4 linked regions of the Macaca mulatta genome follow. The main gene of each other region encodes a partner of the protein of the gene in region 4 in a complex. Links are inferred from orthologs where the notes say so. Each region holds a gene or a part of one and is shown on either strand. Other genes may lie near its edges.

Region 1 (3,562 bases), on a different chromosome or scaffold from region 4:
AGCATGTTAGAACTTTATTATCAGTTGGCTGGGAGCAGTGGCTCACACGTGTAATCCCAGCACTTTGAGAGGCCAAAGAGGGTGGATCACCTGAAGTCAGGAGTTTGAGATCAGCCTGGCCAACATGATGAAACCCCATGCCTACTAAAAAAAAAACACACACACAAAAAAATTCCAGCCTGGCCAACATGGTGAAACCCCATTTCTACGAAAAATACAAAAATTAGCCAGGTGTGGTAGCACTTGCCTGTGGTCCCATCTACTCTACTCGGGAGGTTGAAGCAGGAAAATCACTTGATCCCAGGAGGCAGAGGTTGCAGTGAACCCAGATGGCACCACTGTACTCCAGCCTGGGTGACAGAGCGAGACTTTCATCTCAAAAAAAAAAAAAAAAAAAAAAAAAAAGAACTCTATTATCAGTTAACTGTTTAGTTGTGGTAAGCCATATTCCAAGCACAGTTAAATTCCTGGTCCTGAGAATCTCTGTGCAATTTCTATTTTAGTTTGCTGCAGACTTCTCAAGATGATCTAAACAAATCTGAACCACAAATTAGAACCCCTAACGCCCTATGGGGTAGCCATGGTGTAAATTTTGGCAGTTTTAGATGGAAGCATACACCCTGTGTCTGTTTGGATCTGAATCTGTATTCCCAGGCCAGGCTCAGTGGCTCAGGTCTGTAATCCCAGTACTTTAGGAGGCTGAGGTGGGTGGATCATCTGAGGTCGGGAGTTTGAGACCAGCCTGAGCAACATGGTGAAACCCTGTCTCTACTAAAAACACAAAAATTAGACGGGTGTGGTGGCACATGCCTATAATCCCAGCTACTCGGGGGGCTGAGGCAGGAGAATCACTTGAACCTGGGAGGCAGAGGTTGCAGGGAGCTGAGATCGTAACACTGCACTGCAGCTTGGGCAACAGAGTGAGACTCCGTCTCAAAAAATTAATTAACTAATTAATTAATTTTTAAAAATGAATCTGTATCCTCAGTGTAGCCAGAGGTACCAGGGAAATCACTGGAATCAGGGAGAAATTCTTCTACTGGTCCTAAATCTAGAAGAAATGTTTGTTTAATAGCTGCATTCCCATGACTAGTGGTACCCAGTTTTGTGTACAGTGAATAATTTTGTTTTTACTGCTTTAGATAATAATTTGTAAATGTAACTCCATTTACAATTTCACTCTTCCCTTTTGACCTAACAACATAGATTAAGAAGTTTCCTTTATTTTGGCCTTTCTGCCAAGAATTAAGGTATATAAACTAATAGTTAAGAATATCAGAAGATGATTCCAATCAAAATAATCCTGTAAAGCAGAACTTCTTTTTGATATATGAACATTACACTTAATGATACACATATATACATGTTTTGAAACATTGTTTCTTTGTATATATTTAAATGAGGAACACTTAGAGAATACTTTCCACATTAAATAAACTAATCCTAGGTAGCAGTTATGATATAATGGCTATAATGCCATGTCTAACAGTTCATATACATAGGATTTCTTAAACCTATCGAAAAGAAGAGGTGGGAAATAGTCACTCACATCTGTAATCCCAGCAGTTTGGGAGGCCAAGGTGGGAGAATCACTTGAGTCCAGGAGCTTGAGGCCAGCCTGGAAACATGGTGAGACCCCAGTCTCTATATAAATATAAATATATATAGTTTATAAATATAAGTATATATGTTTCATATGTTTATGAAACATAAAAAGGAGAGGATATTTAATCTACTCTAAAATACATTTTTCATGTGTCAAATTTTAAAAAACTTTAGATCTGAGGTAATAAGGTACAACTCCAGATTTTACATTCCAAAGTATAATCTATCTTCAGAGTAGATGTCACTACCTTAAGGAAAATAATCTAGTGAGCCTTTCGGTGAACAAAGCTAAGGTTCCTGGAAGAGAGCCTCAATGGGTATGGAAAGACAAAGAGAGAATTTCTCCACAAAAATAAAGAAAGATGGAATTTGAGATCTCCTATGGTAAGACTCCTAGAGGGAGGGGATAACCTCAAAAAGAGTAAAGGAGAGAAATCTGAGAAAGGTGTAAAGAAAGGCACCCAACAACACGGCAGGAACCTGGGTCTTCAGAAGGAAGAATGGCCTATGACCAGTTCCAATGAGTTATTTGTTGAAAGATGGTACTCTACTCCCCCTCAGAATCAGAGTGGAAGTCACTCTGCCCTGTGATTGGTTAATATGCACGTAGACCTCATGGATCTGCATGAATGGAGTGTGGTATACAGCATTTACCAAACTTACCTGTGCCATGAACTCTGTTTCATAAAGAGTTCAGAGTCACGAACACATGTAAAGCACTGATGGAAACAGAACACACGAATGGATGTCCAAGGCAAAGGGATTGCAGTTCTCTAGCTAGTCCCAGAGCCAATTTTTATTGAGTACTTTCCTGTCTTTACACCATACCTACTATGCTCACTATATCTGGACTCCAATACCTGAATTTTTCCTGCTTCTGCATACATACATGTCAAGGATTTTGGTTCTGAGAATAACTTTCTTTTTTTTTTTTTTTTTTTTTTGAGACGGAGTCTCGCTGTGTCGCCCAGGCTGGAGTGCAGTGGCCGGATCTCAGCTCACTGCAAGCTCTGCCTCCCGGGTTTTTACGCCATTCTCCTGCCTCAGCCTCCCGAGTAGCCGGGACTACAGGCGCCCGCCACCTCGCCCGGCTAGTTTTTTGTATTTTTTAGTAGAGACGGGGTTTCACCGTGTTAGCCAGGATGGTCTCGAACTCCTGACCTCGTGATCCGCCCGTCTCGGCCTCCCAAAGTGCTGGGATTACAGGCTTGAGCCACCGCGCCCGGCCCTGAGAATAACTTTCTTGCTACAATCCCATCTTTCCTTCTTGAGTCATTGTTTACACCATCACCAAACATCATACAAATAAGATATGAGATCAAATTTTCCAAAGAAACTTATTTTACCAGCCCCTTCCCACCCCTTTTTTTTTTTTTTTTTTACTACCTCTGATGATTGCTGTCCCAAATGTCGTATTGATTGTGTCCATTCCTTTAGGTAATCCTGGTGCTTGATCATGAGATTTTCCTAATGGTGCTCGTCGATTGCTAAGATATATAGATTCTTTTTTATCTTTAATTTTCTGTTGAAATGTGGTAATAGGCTGTGGGTTTATCAATGTGTTTGCCTAAAAGAAATCATACAATGCACAAATACATCAACAAAAATAGTACAAATCTGAAAATGGAAACCCTAATCAACAGCTAGGGAGAGGAGACTGTACGATTGTGGGAAAACATTTCATTATCATCACTGGCTTTGCTCACCTTCAAATGAACTGTCGGAATTGGCTATAAAGTTTAAACATGCCTAGAAGAACTTTCTAATGAGTTAAAAGGTTTCAGTGATACTAAAAGGTTTACGATGATAGCTTCCAGGTTACTCGACTCAAATATTTAAGACAAGTGATGCCAGGTGCAGTGGCTCACGCCTGTTATCCCAGCACTTTGGGAGGCTGAGGAGGGCGGATCACCTGAGGTCAGGAGTTTGAGACCACCAGCCTGGCCAACATGGTGAA
Region 2 (3,052 bases), on a different chromosome or scaffold from region 4:
TGGGCCCAAGAGGATTTTCTTAGGAAAAGCACTGAATCAGGCAGACATCCCAGAGAAAGGAGAACATGGCTTTCTTCTCCCTGTAAATTACTCCTCACCAAAGAAATCACTCCCCTAGTTTCCAACTGAGCGAGCAGTAAATCGTGTGCAGGAGAAGATAATTTATAGGGTGTTGTCTGATTCTTCCCACAGTAACAGACTGAAATATAAGGCACACACGTCAGGCTGGCTTTCACCATCTTTTCCTTGCCCTTAGGAACAGGCTTGGATGCATGAGACTTGAGACAAATAGGCTGCAATTTCAGATCACAAGTGAGGTGGTACTGACTCTTCCCATTCAGCAGGATGTCCTGGCTTTAATTTTAATGTGCCAACGTAGCTCATTCTAGGAATGAATTGACTTGGCATGGGACCGGCCATACAGAGAACTGACTGCAGCTAGCTGGGATGTGTTTGAAGGTGGGATGCCTCAGAGTGGGATAAACAAGTGTGTTTCTGAAGACCTTTTGCCAGCCCATGGATGCCCACTCTCTCCATTAGCGCCAAAGACCCCTACATGTGGCAGCTCCTGTCTCCACCATGGCCAGGCGGATGCCTTGCTCCTATCAGTAATGAGCCCACTGTGTCTGTCCTTCCAGGGGCTCCCCTACAAACACCTGATCACCCACCACCAGGAACCCCCACATCGCTACCTGATCAGCACCTATGACGACCATTACAACCGGCATGGTTACAACCCGGGGCTGCCTCCGCTCCGCACCTGGAATGGACAGAAGTTGCTGTGGCTGCCAGAGAAGTCTGACTTCCCCCTTCTTGGTATTTTTATAATTCAGGGTTTTCCTCTGAATTGGTCTGTAAAGGTGCACAGACCAATGCAGCTATACCTGCCTTATGCAGAAGGAGCCACACAGGTGGCCCTGGCTCCAGGAGAGCAGTGGATGACACAGTCGGGGCTGAGTCCTATTGTCCCCTCAGGGCTACCTCCTGTGCTCTCCCCTTGATACGGGATAATCTTGGCTGTGTAATGAAGCCATCACCTGTGCCCCATGATGGCATGCTTAGAGCACAGGTGGCAGGGAGCGCATCCACGCATCCTTCCTCCCAGTCGTATTTACTACATGAATAGTGACAATATTTCCCAGGTAGTGCTCCTTGCTGCAATGGTAACAAACACTGAGGAATTTCTGGCCTCGGGGAGTTGACATTCCAGTGGGGAAACAGGTAAGACACCACTAAAAAGTAAGAACACTTAAGATCACATAGATAATTTTAGACCGGAATGTGTGCTATGGAGAGAAAACAGGTAATGGATAGAAAGTGAGGTGGTGAATTTGTGAGCCTCCTTTGGTTCACACGTTCCTCCTTGGAAAAGTGAGGGATGGTCTTTGTTGAGGAGATAGTTGAGTTGGGAAGAAGGGAACCATACAGGGATCGATGGGGAGGGCATTCCAGAGGAAGGAACAGAAAGTGAAAAAGGTCTACGGCAGGAATGGAGGAGGGCCATGTAGGGGCTCACAGGGCACAGTGAAGGGAATGAAATTTGTCCTACCCACAATCCCAAGACCTGGAATGCATTTTTGTAGGAGAGTGCCTTGATCTGATTTACATTTCAAGCCACGTCCACCCTAATGAGGACACAGAGCAGTGCCATCTCTTTGTGGTCCTACCTTTTGATGCAAAGGGACATAGGTCAGAGGATGAGCTGCTGGTCACTCTGCATTACTTTTGCATGGGATTCTTCTCAACATCACTCTCCATGCACACAGCTTCCTTCCCGAAAGGGGTGGGACAATTACTCAGGACTAGCGAGGCCACGCACAACCTCACCATGGGGGCTGACTTCTCCAAGGCCCCCGTGGCAGAGCCTGGTCTCCCCTGAGCACTTGGGATGCAGGTGCACCTTGAGACCGCCAGGGGCTGACTGAACCAATGCTCTCTGCAAGGCTTCTTCCCTCTGGGGCTCTGCTGGCCTTGGTGCCTGACAGAGCAGCCTGGGAAAATCTCCAGCGCCCCTGCTGCCCAGTCTCGTGGCCATTTAGAGCAAGACTCCTTCTCTAAGCCCCATTCAACAGGACCCTGGTTTCTCTTGCAGCTCCCCCTACAAACTATGGACTCTATGAACAACTTAAGCAGAGATGGCTCGCACCCAAGGCTGGCCTGAAGCAGAGCACGTACACTTCATCCTACCCCAGACCTCCGTCGTGCGCTCTGTCCTGCAGGGAATATGCGATTCCGGTCCCTCCCCATCGCCTGCATCCTGTCCCACACTTCTGAGAGCTGCCACCCCAGTAGCAGCTCAGATAGAACCAACTGGAGACCCACAGCATCCCTGGACTTGCCAGACAACAAGCGGCTGCAGATAAACTCAGAGTACAATATCCGGCCTGTCAAGGATGCCCTCAGAATAACCATCTGCATTTGGCGGTACCTGTCCCCTCCTCAAATCCCACAGGTTCCTTTCTTTCCATCCCACAATTAAAGCTCTTTGACACTATTGCTGGGCTATGTACGTGCACAAGACAGATTCAGACTGTCAGAGAAAACAGGAAGGGCCCTTAAGTTCCACCCTGTTGTTTCACAGGAGGGGAAGCTGAGGTCCGGAGAGGTAATGAGACTTGCTGAAGAGTCTAGTCCCATGGAGGAAACGAATCTGATGATGAAACCCATCGTGAAAACTCCACAGAATGACCGAATGTGGTTCCCAGGAGGGCAGTGCTGCAGAGCTGGCGTTGGGGAAGGACCCCAGCTTGTCTGTCATTGCCAAGGCAGAGGAAGGCGTGCTCTGGCCCCATGGGACTCGGAAGGGGAAGACACATGGCATTTCCTCTGTCTCTGAGCTCGCAAATCTTTTTTTTGTTTGTTTGTTTGTTTGCTTTTTTTTGAGATGGAGTCTTGCTCTGTTGCCCAGGCTGGAGTGCTGTGGCATGATCTCGGCTCACTGCAACCTTCACCTCCCGGGTTCAAGTGATTCTTCTGCCTCAGCCTCCTGAGTAGCTGGGACTACAGGTGCGCACTACTGTGCCCGGCTAATTTTTGTATTTTTAGTAGAGAC
Region 3 (4,091 bases), on a different chromosome or scaffold from region 4:
CTTTAAAAGGAAAATGAACTTTGAAATCTTCAAATTGTGTATCTCTTACATCTCTTTATAGGCAAGCACTATAAAAATGTGAATTTGAATATTATTTGATGGCAGGGCTTTTGTGATGCTTGTTTTCTTATAGAATGCAACAAAAATTTCATGGAAACAAAGTCTACTTTCTATTGAAGAACAATACTTGACATTGAGATTTTAAAAATTTTGCCATTTACATTTATCATTATTTTTCAATAATTTTGCGCTCTCATATCCAGACTGACTGTTTAAATAAGCATTTCTGCTTGCACAGCCCATTTGATGAAACATATTTATCATCAAGTTTATGTACTTGTATCACTATTGCACTCAAAGAAATATCAGGAGTCTCTGTGTAACTCCTTAGGATATATAAAATTCTTCATGTTTTAAGTGGAAGAGCATTGGAATGGTGACTTATCTAACTGGAAAAGTGGTTTGGAGGGTATTGGCCTTTGAGCATGAGGTCGCAATTAAGAAAAGCTGGAAATTGTCATACATATCCTGAATCGAAATACACCTTCAGAAAGAGATGAGGATATTTTGATCTTATAATGCTGAAAAGTCTATACTGCTAAAGATAAAAATGGTGAAATGTAAATATTGGTTATGAAATGGAAAATTTTTATTTCTTGTACCACTGAAGTTATTTTGTATAAACAGTATTGTCTAGCTTTCTTTTATCAAGATTTGAATGTTGTTATTTTGGTTTACCTTGGAGTACTAAGGGCAGGGACTTTGCTTTGCTGATCCCAAATCCCCAGAACTGTGCTTAACAAGTATTGGGTATTAAAAAAAGAGAGAGAGAGAGTTGTTGACTGAATAAGTAGATGAATGGATAAATAATCTTTGCATTTAAGAATTATGATTTCCAATGGCAAGAGAAGTATTGCTAGCACAAGATTTTCCTTTAGAATATAAAAAGATAAGATAATGTATCACAAATAAGTTCTTTATAAAGAAGCCTGCTTCATAATCAATGTGGTTCTTTTAAAGTCATGTAGGCATATTTACTACATCTGGCAATATAGAAACATTAGATTTTGCAGAACTATCTCTTTAGGCGTAGGATTATATTAAAGAATTAACATGATACAAGAATTATGAACACAAGTTTAGGAAATAACAGAAAAGAACCCTGACCAGTAAAAAAAAAAAAATTGTGATATTCAATTATAACATTAAAAAACACCAAAATTGTAAATATTGTGTAGAAGAAAACTAAATTATTAACTTGAATGGTTATGGTATTGCTGATAAATGCATCATCTTGACTCCTAGGAGAACCAATTTATGTGAAATTCCATGAAAAAGAATTAGTTACAACAAGCAGAATTTTAGTCTATTTCCAAGAATTTTAACTACTGTAAATCACCTGACACACTTCTCAATAATTAGGATATCATTTTGCATAACCACATGGGAACCTGGCCTAGAGGTCTATAGGTAATCTGTTTCATTCATGTATTTTAAGTATGTCGTTTAGGAATAAGTTATTAGGTTTACAACATATAAGCAAAGGAAATAATGTGACACTGGAAAACAACATTACTCATTTAACATAATGAATTGCCACATGTAATAACTCAGATCTTCCCAGGGTGTAAATTATATGAATTTGAAAGCTGCATTTATTATTTAATGCCTCATTCCCAGACAGGTGCTTACTCAGTAGCAAAATCTGCCTTAGCATACCAAGTGTAAAGCTATGTAACAAATAGGAAGGTTTAAAAAATAGATACTATCATGCAGACAGCTAAAATATTTGTATGTATTTTTAATCTTTTTTTCCTCTAATGATACTTAGAATATTTTATTTTTGTTACTACAAATAATGCAGATGAAATATGAATTGTATTAGTAGCAGAGACACATGAGCTAAAGCTTGTATTGTTTAAAGCACATCATCTTAAAAGGCCTGTCAGGAAACAGTGTTCATATTAAGTGGGCTTTCAGTACTCTAACAAGATGACATCATTTTCTAAGAGACAAGTGTTGTTAGAGTAACTGCTAGGATATTCCAAAATTTCTCATTATAGATTATTTAATGAGTTTATGTTCCCAGTTGTATATCAGCTCATGTTAAATTTTGCAAGAGTTTATGATTTCTAAGAGCTCATCTTCTGTAAGGCCCTTTGCTGAGTGGGGTTAGTTAGCAATCAGTAATTAAAGGGGATCTTTTTACCTCGTGTAAATAGCGTAAGAGTAATTTTGGGCGGTTTAGAAACGATGAGTTATCAGGAAGGTGCTTATCAATGGGCAGAGTATATCATTTGCCCAGGATTCTAACAACCTAGCCTGCCCCCCACACACTGTGGGGGACCGTCTGCTACTTGCCAAGTAATTGCCATTTTTGGCAAAGACCACCCAGGACATGGGCTCAGAGTCCATCCTAGGGCTGGCCAACCTCTGTAAATCTCGTGTCCCCTGATACGGAGCGAGTGCATTCAATTCAGGAAGATCACTTACGACTGAGTTTTTCATCATGGCTTTGACTGTGAAGCCCTCAGAAACCAGGGAGTGAGGCTGGTGCACCGGGAGCGGCTGTTGTGCCAGCAGCTTGGTCCTCTTCGGCATCTTGTCTGGGCATTTGTTTAAGCTCAGGGTCTCTTTTTCTGCCACCATCTTCCTAGAAAATGTCTTGTTCTCATAAAAAGTGTAGTAAAAGAATCAGTGGGTTTTACGGATGTGAGCAGGAGGTCGGGAAAAAAATGTCAAAAGGCGCGTTAATGGTAGAAATTCAACCCCTCGTAGTGCCCAGGTTGATCCAGATGTTTGGCAGCTCCTAGGTGAAGGGAGTTTAGGGGAGGGGTGGGGCGGGAAGAGGGCAGGACCGTAGCTAGAGCTGCAACAAGCTTCCAAAGGTAAGCCTCCCGGTTGCTAAGCGACTGGTCAACACTGCGGGCGCATAGCTCCGCCCCTCGGTGACGTACGATTGCTGGGCCTGAAGCCGGAAAGGGAGGCGGCGGTGAGCTGGAGGGCAGGAGGCGTGAGGAGAAACTACGCATTAAAACTACGACTCCCAGCAGGCCCTGGGCCGCGTACCCTCCGCGCGTGCGCATTCCTAGGGCCCGGCGCCGGGGCGGGGAGCCCTGGAAGATTTAACCCAGGAGAGCCGCTGGTGGGAGGCGCTGGCTGGCGCCGGTGCGCGCGTAGGCCCTTTCCTGGCCCGCAGCCGCCACCTGCCCAGTGACCATGATAGGTACGTGGGTACCTGCCAGGTACAGCCTCATCTGCGCCGCCCTGCGCCCCGGTGTGGCCTCGGCCGACCTGGACCCCAGGTGCCAACTGTCAGTGACGGGGCCAAAGTGCCCATGTCGTACCCGGCCCGCACCGCCGGGCTCTCCAGCTCAGCGACGCGGGCCCGGGGCCCCAGTGTGTGCGTTCCAAGCCCTCGCCCGCCCGCCCCTGCTCTGAGCGTTCCCGTGAAGACCGCCTCACCGGGGACGCCAGGCGGCCCCGCACCCCCGGTCCTCGCTCATGGTCCCCCGGACCGTGTAGGGTCCCGAAGCCTTCGCCCCGCCGCCGCCCCTCGCCCTCGAGGCCCTGGCCAGTTGTCGTGCGGTTCAGGACCCATCGAGACCCACTCTTTGTGGGGCTCTTTCAGGAAACCCCAGCAAAGCATTAAACTCTAATGGAAGGCACCTGGTGAGGGTGGCTGGGCGCCACAGAAACTCCTCCAGATGAATCTAAACTTCTTGCTCCCTCGGATGTTTCCTTTTAAACTTCTCGTTGGAGGGCTGAGGTGAAAGAAAAATTGAGAGTAAATAATAGCCAAGATTACATCTACTGCCTTTTGCAAAATAACTTTGTTTTTTTTGTTTTTTTTTGGTAAAACACAATGACCGAGGTGCAATTTTGTGAACAAAACTTAGTGGCATCAGAGTTGTTCATGAACACTTGATGTGTAAGATGAGCAAAGGTGCAAAGGTCCTCTTCCAGGGTTGTTGAACCAAAAACTACTTTAGGGGCTGTCCCTAAAAATGAATGGAAATGCACCATATGTTTAGAAGCCAGTGCTATATGGGGTTTCATTATTGTGGAAGTTTCTCCAGGTTATGTATGGA
Region 4 (4,197 bases):
AGGGGAAGGGAGGGAGAGAGTAAGGAAGGGGGAGGGGAGGAGGAGAGGAGGGGTGAGGGAGGTTTTGAGCGTGAGGAAGGGTGTGAGCGTGGGGAGAAGGCCTGAGAGTGGGGGAATGGACCGCAAGGCCAGCCTGGATGAGGTGTTAGCAGAAGCTGGCTGGGTCTGGACAGGAGGGGGTGGGCAGGGGCGGGGGGCACCTTATCTCTTGCAAGTGGGCGGTGCCGTTAGATCTAGTTTCAAGGCTTTGTGGCTGAAACGGGAGCCCACGCCCGCCACAGCTGGCCACCTGCCTCTCTCCTGACTCCCGTGCAAGGCCAGTAATGCAACCCAGGAGAAAGCCGCAGGGCGCCCTGGGTCCCCACCCCCTTCTCCGGCCACCCTGTGGCTGTGCATAGCCGCCCAGCAGAGCCCATGCAGGTAAGAGACCTGGGCTCAGGTTGGCTGGGAGGGTGGGGGCCCGGGGCTGGGCCAGGGGGGTCCTGCGGGAACAGGAGCCTGCCCGGCTGGCGCCCACATGAACCAGAGGTGCGCAGACCCTGGTGTCTGCCTGTGCCCCGGTGCCACCCTCCCTCCCAGGTCTGCATGCACCAGCCCCACAGACCCAGCGCCTGACCTCTGGGGTGGGCTCCTGGGGCCAGCACCCCATCCAGGCAGACGGTCCCCAAGGTGGGATGTCCACTGCTGGCTTCCCTCTGGTAGGATGCTGCAGCCAGAGGGCCCCCAGGCCTCGGAGGAGGGGGGCCCCCACAGGAGAGACTGCATCATCTGCTGCTCAGCCTATGACCTCTCCGGGCACCTGCCCCGCCGCCTCTACTGCGGACACACCTTCTGCCAGGCGTGTGTGCGGCGACTGGACGCCCCAGCACCCGAGCAGCGCTGGATCCCCTGTCCGCAGTGCCGCCAGAGCACGCCCACGCCTCGTGGAGGGGTGCCCATGCTGGACCTGGATCTGGCTGCTTTCCTGGCGGTCAAGGCTGAGCGGGAGCCGGCAAGACTGGAACCCCTACCCCTCACCTCCCTCAAAGGCAGCAGCATCACTCAGCAGCCAGCTGGGCTGTGCCCTGCCCTGGGTCCCCAGCCCCACTTCCCCCCTACCAGATACTGCTGCTGGGGCTGTGGCAGCCTCTGCTGCCCACCCCTAGGCAGCCCTGAGGTCTGAACTCTGGCCATTCCCACCCCTGCAGGGGAAATGCCTGCCTTGGAACCCCTGACCACGCACCATCATGGGCTCAGCCCACTCAGAGCAACCTGGCGGTAGCGTCCCGTACGCAGCTCCGTGGGGCCCAGCAGGGTGGTGTCATCCCAGCTGTGAACATCCCAGACCGCAGCCTAAGGTTGGGGGCTGGGAGGTTCCGCAGGAGGCTAGTGACCTCCCACCTGTCCTGGCCACAATTACCAGACCCCAAACTAGCCCGATCGGGTGTGCCTGGTGAGGACACTGCTGACTGGGTGGGTGGCAAGCCCGGCTTGGGCCTAGATGCAGCGCAAAGGATGGCTCCCAAGAGGACGCAAAGGCCAGAGCCGGAGGCCTGGGCTGCAGGCTGGAGGGGTAGGGCCGATCCAGCTACGCCTTGCGAGCTGCCCAGAGCAGGTCTCGCCTCTCCCACAGACATCCCCAGGGTGTACCAGGAGGGTGGCGAGACCACCTCCTTCCTCCCTGCCCTGCACGGCAGCCCTGTGAATTCACCCGCTCAACAAAGCTCATGGAGTTCCCACTGTGTGTCAGGCGCAGCTCCGGGAGGGTCTCGTACAGGCACGAAGCCGTGAGGGCATTGAAGAGGACGTCTCAGCGGGGCCTGCTTGAGGTGTCACAGCCCACTTGATCTCATCCTTGGCTAAACCTTTCCTGGCTCCCGGCAGCCACCACACAGACCCTTTTGAGGGGCCGGGGCCGGGGCTGGGGCCAGAGACTGGACAGCAGTGACCACCAAGTCAGTGCTGTAACCCCCCACACCCACTGGAAGGAGCTGTCACTCGGGAGCCCCAGGGAAGGACTGTGGCCCCCACCCCCAGAGCAAGGGCGCAGGAGGGAGACGGAAGAGAATTTGTCGGGAGCCCCAGGGAAGGACTGCGGCCCCCACCCCCAGAGCAAGGGCGCAGGAGGGAGACTGAAGAGAATTTGCTGAGCGGACACCCAGAAGTTTCTACCTTCTCCAGGGCAAAGTCCCCACGCACACAGCGGGGGCTGGGCGGCAAGCAGAGCAGGGCACCAGCAGCCCCTAGGCAGGGTGAGCCTCCTCCGGGGGAGCTACCCCACACCCCGGGGCAGGAAGAGGCCCAGTCCTCCTAGGGGACACCCCACAGGCGCTCAGGCCAGCTGGGATTTCTCTGGGGAAAGCTGTGCGATGGGCCAGGCAGTGGGTGGGGAAGGTGGCCTGGGGGGCTCTGTCCTCCTCCCTCTGCAGATGGAGGCTGCCAGCTACACCAGGGCCGAGCCCGCTAACAGCCTGCTGGGCCCAACCCTACCCTGAACCCGGATCTGAACCCTCTGACCTCGGGCTGGGTGCCCTCCCTGGCTACATGAAAAAGCCCATCCTCCACCACCACCTGGTGCAAAGGGCTTCCTTCCCCTGCTCTGCCGGTGGCAGGGATGACACTAAGGAGGTCTGGGGAGCCCTGGCCGGGCGCAGTGGCTCACGCCTGTAATCCCAGCACTTTGGGAGGCCGAGGCGGGCGGATCACCTGAGGTCAGGAGTTCGAGACCAGCCTCAACATGGAGAAACCCCGTCTCTACTGAAAATACAAAATTAGCCGGGCGTGGTGGCTCATGCCTGTAATTCCAGCTACTCGGCAGACTGAGGCAGGAGAATTACGTGAACCTGGGAAGCAGAGGTTGTGGTGAGCCGAGATCGTGCCATTGCACTCCAGCCTGGGCGACAAGAGCGAATCTCAAAAAAAAAAAAAGGTCTGGGGAGCCCTGAGATGCATGGAAGTGGGGGGCTGGCGTCTCCCGACCCCCGGGCAGCCCCAGCCATGCTCTAGCATCCTGCCTGGCTGGGTGTGGTGTGTCTCTTGGGTCACACGGATGCCTGCTGCAGATGCCCAGTACCGAGGGCCGGTGTCCCGCCCTGCAGTGCCCTTGGCCTAATTCGGAGCCCACCCCTGGGAGAAGCCCCACTCTGGGAGGGTTGGGCTGGGGTTTGGAGGTCTTAGCCACAGAGTGACAGGACGGGGACGAGGCCTAGGGCCCTTGGGGCCGGGGGGAACCCCCGTGGGGACCTGGGCTCTTGGGTAAACATTAATGGGCTCAGTACCCAGCAGATCATGTGCGCGATCAGGGGATCTTTGACCTGCAACTGCTCCCTGCAGGTGCCCCTCACCACCCACACAGGTAGGAGCTCCTAAGGCCAGGCTGGGGCCCAGGGACAGTGAGGCCGAGGCTGGGTGGCCTCCAGGCCCAGGGCTTGGGCCCCATCCTAAGCCTCCAGGACCCAACGGCAAGAGACGCCAGGCTTGGGCAGCAGGAGGGAGGGTGAAGCAGAGGACGCCTGGACCTGAGCCCAGGGCACTAGGTGGAGGGGTCCAGGTGGGGGACCCGAGGGGTGGGGTGACCAGGCCCAGGAGGCTGAGGAGGCAGCAGCTTCGGGGCCAGGAGCCTTGAGGCGGTGTGAGGACCCCACCTGCTCCCCATCACCAGGGTGTGGGGCCCTTATCAAGCCGAGACGTCACTGTTTAGTATCAAATGCCAAAGTCTAAGTCGGGACCATCCAGTGTCCCCGATGACACCTGATAGGAGAGGTCTTTAGGTTCCCCAGCTCACAGCCACTTCCAGCCTGAGCCCTGGAACCCTGCACCCTCAGCACTAGCCAGGCCTTACAGTCAGGACCAGCAAGGGAACCGGGGAGCCGGGGCCCCCTCGAGTCTACCCCTGAAACTGGACTGGGCTCGCCTGACAACTGCCTGAGGTCATTGTAGCCATCCCCCGTGGATGGAGGAAGGGAGGTGGTCACTGAGGCCTGCAGTGGGGAGGGAGAGAGGGTGGCCAAGGGCTCAGTTCAGGGGACCTGGGGCGTGAATCCAGCCTGTGAGGCCAGGGCTGGGGCACGGGGAAACGTCTCTGACACGTGCGTCTCCCCCAGCAGATCCGGGCCTGGGCCTGGGTCTGTCCCTGCCCGAAATCCATGCCGAGTTCCCTCCCGGGCAGCCAGGTCCCCCACCCCACTCTGGACGCGGTTGACCTAGTGGACAGGACTC

Evidence for each region.
Region 1: the proteins of TUBB4B (region 4) and EFHB are in contact, whole or in part, in a cryo-EM structure (PDB 7UNG), measured with the Homo sapiens proteins. The link is inferred for Macaca mulatta from reciprocal best matches to the Homo sapiens genes TUBB4B and EFHB. Residues at the interface, in NP_006079.1 of Homo sapiens: Asp26, Glu27, Asp31, Pro32, Thr33, His37, Gly38, Asp39, Ser40, Leu42, Gln43, Thr55, Gly56, Gly57, Lys58, Ser78, Gly79, Pro80, Phe81, Gln83, Leu215, Lys216, Leu217, Thr219, Thr221, Asp224, His227, Pro243, Gln245, Phe270; in NP_653316.3 of Homo sapiens: Tyr523, Gly524, Val525, Gly526, Leu528, Ile529, His530, Asn531, Arg532, Tyr537, Arg539, Asp542, Arg545, Ala546, Ala549, Ala550, Arg552, His553, Lys556, Tyr608, Asn624, Phe625, Trp628, Asp630, Lys631, Thr686, Leu687, Leu688, Ser691, Asp692.
Region 2: the proteins of TUBB4B (region 4) and CFAP107 are in contact, whole or in part, in a cryo-EM structure (PDB 9CPB), measured with the Bos taurus proteins. The link is inferred for Macaca mulatta from reciprocal best matches to the Homo sapiens genes TUBB4B and CFAP107. Residues at the interface, in NP_001029835.1 of Bos taurus: Lys19, Glu22, Asp26, Tyr36, Asp39, Ser40, Asp41, Leu42, Gln43, Leu44, Glu45, Glu53, Gly56, Gly57, Tyr59, Pro80, Leu215, Leu217, Thr219, Thr221, Tyr222, Gly223, Asp224, His227, Leu228, Ala231, Gly244, Gln245, Phe270, Pro272; in NP_001033296.1 of Bos taurus: Thr74, Val75, Glu76, Gly77, Leu78, Tyr80, Lys81, Leu83, Ile84, Thr85, His86, His87, Gln88, Glu89, Gln92, Arg93, Tyr94, Leu95, Ile96, Ser97, Thr98, Asp101, His102, Pro133, Pro138, Thr139, Asn140, Tyr141, Leu143, Tyr144.
Region 3: the proteins of TUBB4B (region 4) and PACRG are in contact, whole or in part, in a cryo-EM structure (PDB 7UNG), measured with the Homo sapiens proteins. The link is inferred for Macaca mulatta from reciprocal best matches to the Homo sapiens genes TUBB4B and PACRG. Residues at the interface, in NP_006079.1 of Homo sapiens: Glu194, Phe260, Pro261, Arg262, Gln291, Phe294, Asp295, Ala296, Arg306, His307, Gly308, Arg309, Tyr310, Val333, Lys336, Asn337, Ser339, Tyr340, Phe341, Gln375, Ser413, Asn414, Asp417, Ser420, Gln423, Gln424, Tyr425, Gln426, Asp427, Glu432; in NP_689623.2 of Homo sapiens: Glu40, Gly41, Phe42, Thr43, Val44, Ala46, Met47, Met48, Val53, Arg54, Gly55, Pro56, Pro57, Ala58, Ala59, Gly60, Ala61, Phe62, Arg65, Lys154, Arg160, Arg162, Arg191, Gln192, Pro195, Asn198, Ile199, Phe200, Asn202, Met203.

The regions. Positions count from the first base shown.
Region 1 is NC_133407.1:28,644,526-28,648,087, reverse strand, and holds part of EFHB (EF-hand domain-containing family member B), read right to left. Parts: intron 3,173-3,562; coding exon 2,992-3,172; intron 1-2,991. UniProt on the Homo sapiens protein: Microtubule inner protein (MIP) part of the dynein-decorated doublet microtubules (DMTs) in cilia axoneme, which is required for motile cilia beating.
Region 2 is NC_133406.1:227,946,528-227,949,579, reverse strand, and holds the end of CFAP107 (cilia- and flagella-associated protein 107), read left to right. Parts: intron 1-638; coding exon 639-816; intron 817-2,092; coding exon 2,093-2,274; 3' UTR 2,275-2,494; downstream 2,495-3,052. UniProt on the Homo sapiens protein: Microtubule inner protein (MIP) part of the dynein-decorated doublet microtubules (DMTs) in cilia axoneme, which is required for motile cilia beating.
Region 3 is NC_133409.1:9,423,177-9,427,267, forward strand, and holds the start of PACRG (parkin coregulated gene protein), read right to left. Parts: upstream 2,829-4,091; 5' UTR 2,650-2,828; coding exon 2,494-2,649; intron 1-2,493. Other genes in the region: PRKN (E3 ubiquitin-protein ligase parkin), read left to right, coding at 3,220-3,226. UniProt on the Homo sapiens protein: Microtubule inner protein (MIP) part of the dynein-decorated doublet microtubules (DMTs) in cilia axoneme, which is required for motile cilia beating. Suppresses cell death induced by accumulation of unfolded Pael receptor (Pael-R, a substrate of Parkin).
Region 4 is NC_133420.1:5,222,956-5,227,152, reverse strand, and holds the start of TUBB4B (tubulin beta-4B chain), read left to right. Parts: upstream 1-1,357; 5' UTR 1,358-1,368; exon of another isoform or gene 1,369-1,718; intron 1,719-2,544; exon of another isoform or gene 2,545-2,908; intron 2,909-3,173; exon of another isoform or gene 3,174-3,908; intron 3,909-4,082; exon of another isoform or gene 4,083-4,085; coding exon of another isoform or gene 4,086-4,197. Other genes in the region: RNF224 (RING finger protein 224), read left to right, coding at 704-1,162; SLC34A3 (sodium-dependent phosphate transport protein 2C), read left to right, coding at 4,086-4,197. UniProt on the Homo sapiens protein: Tubulin is the major constituent of microtubules, a cylinder consisting of laterally associated linear protofilaments composed of alpha- and beta-tubulin heterodimers.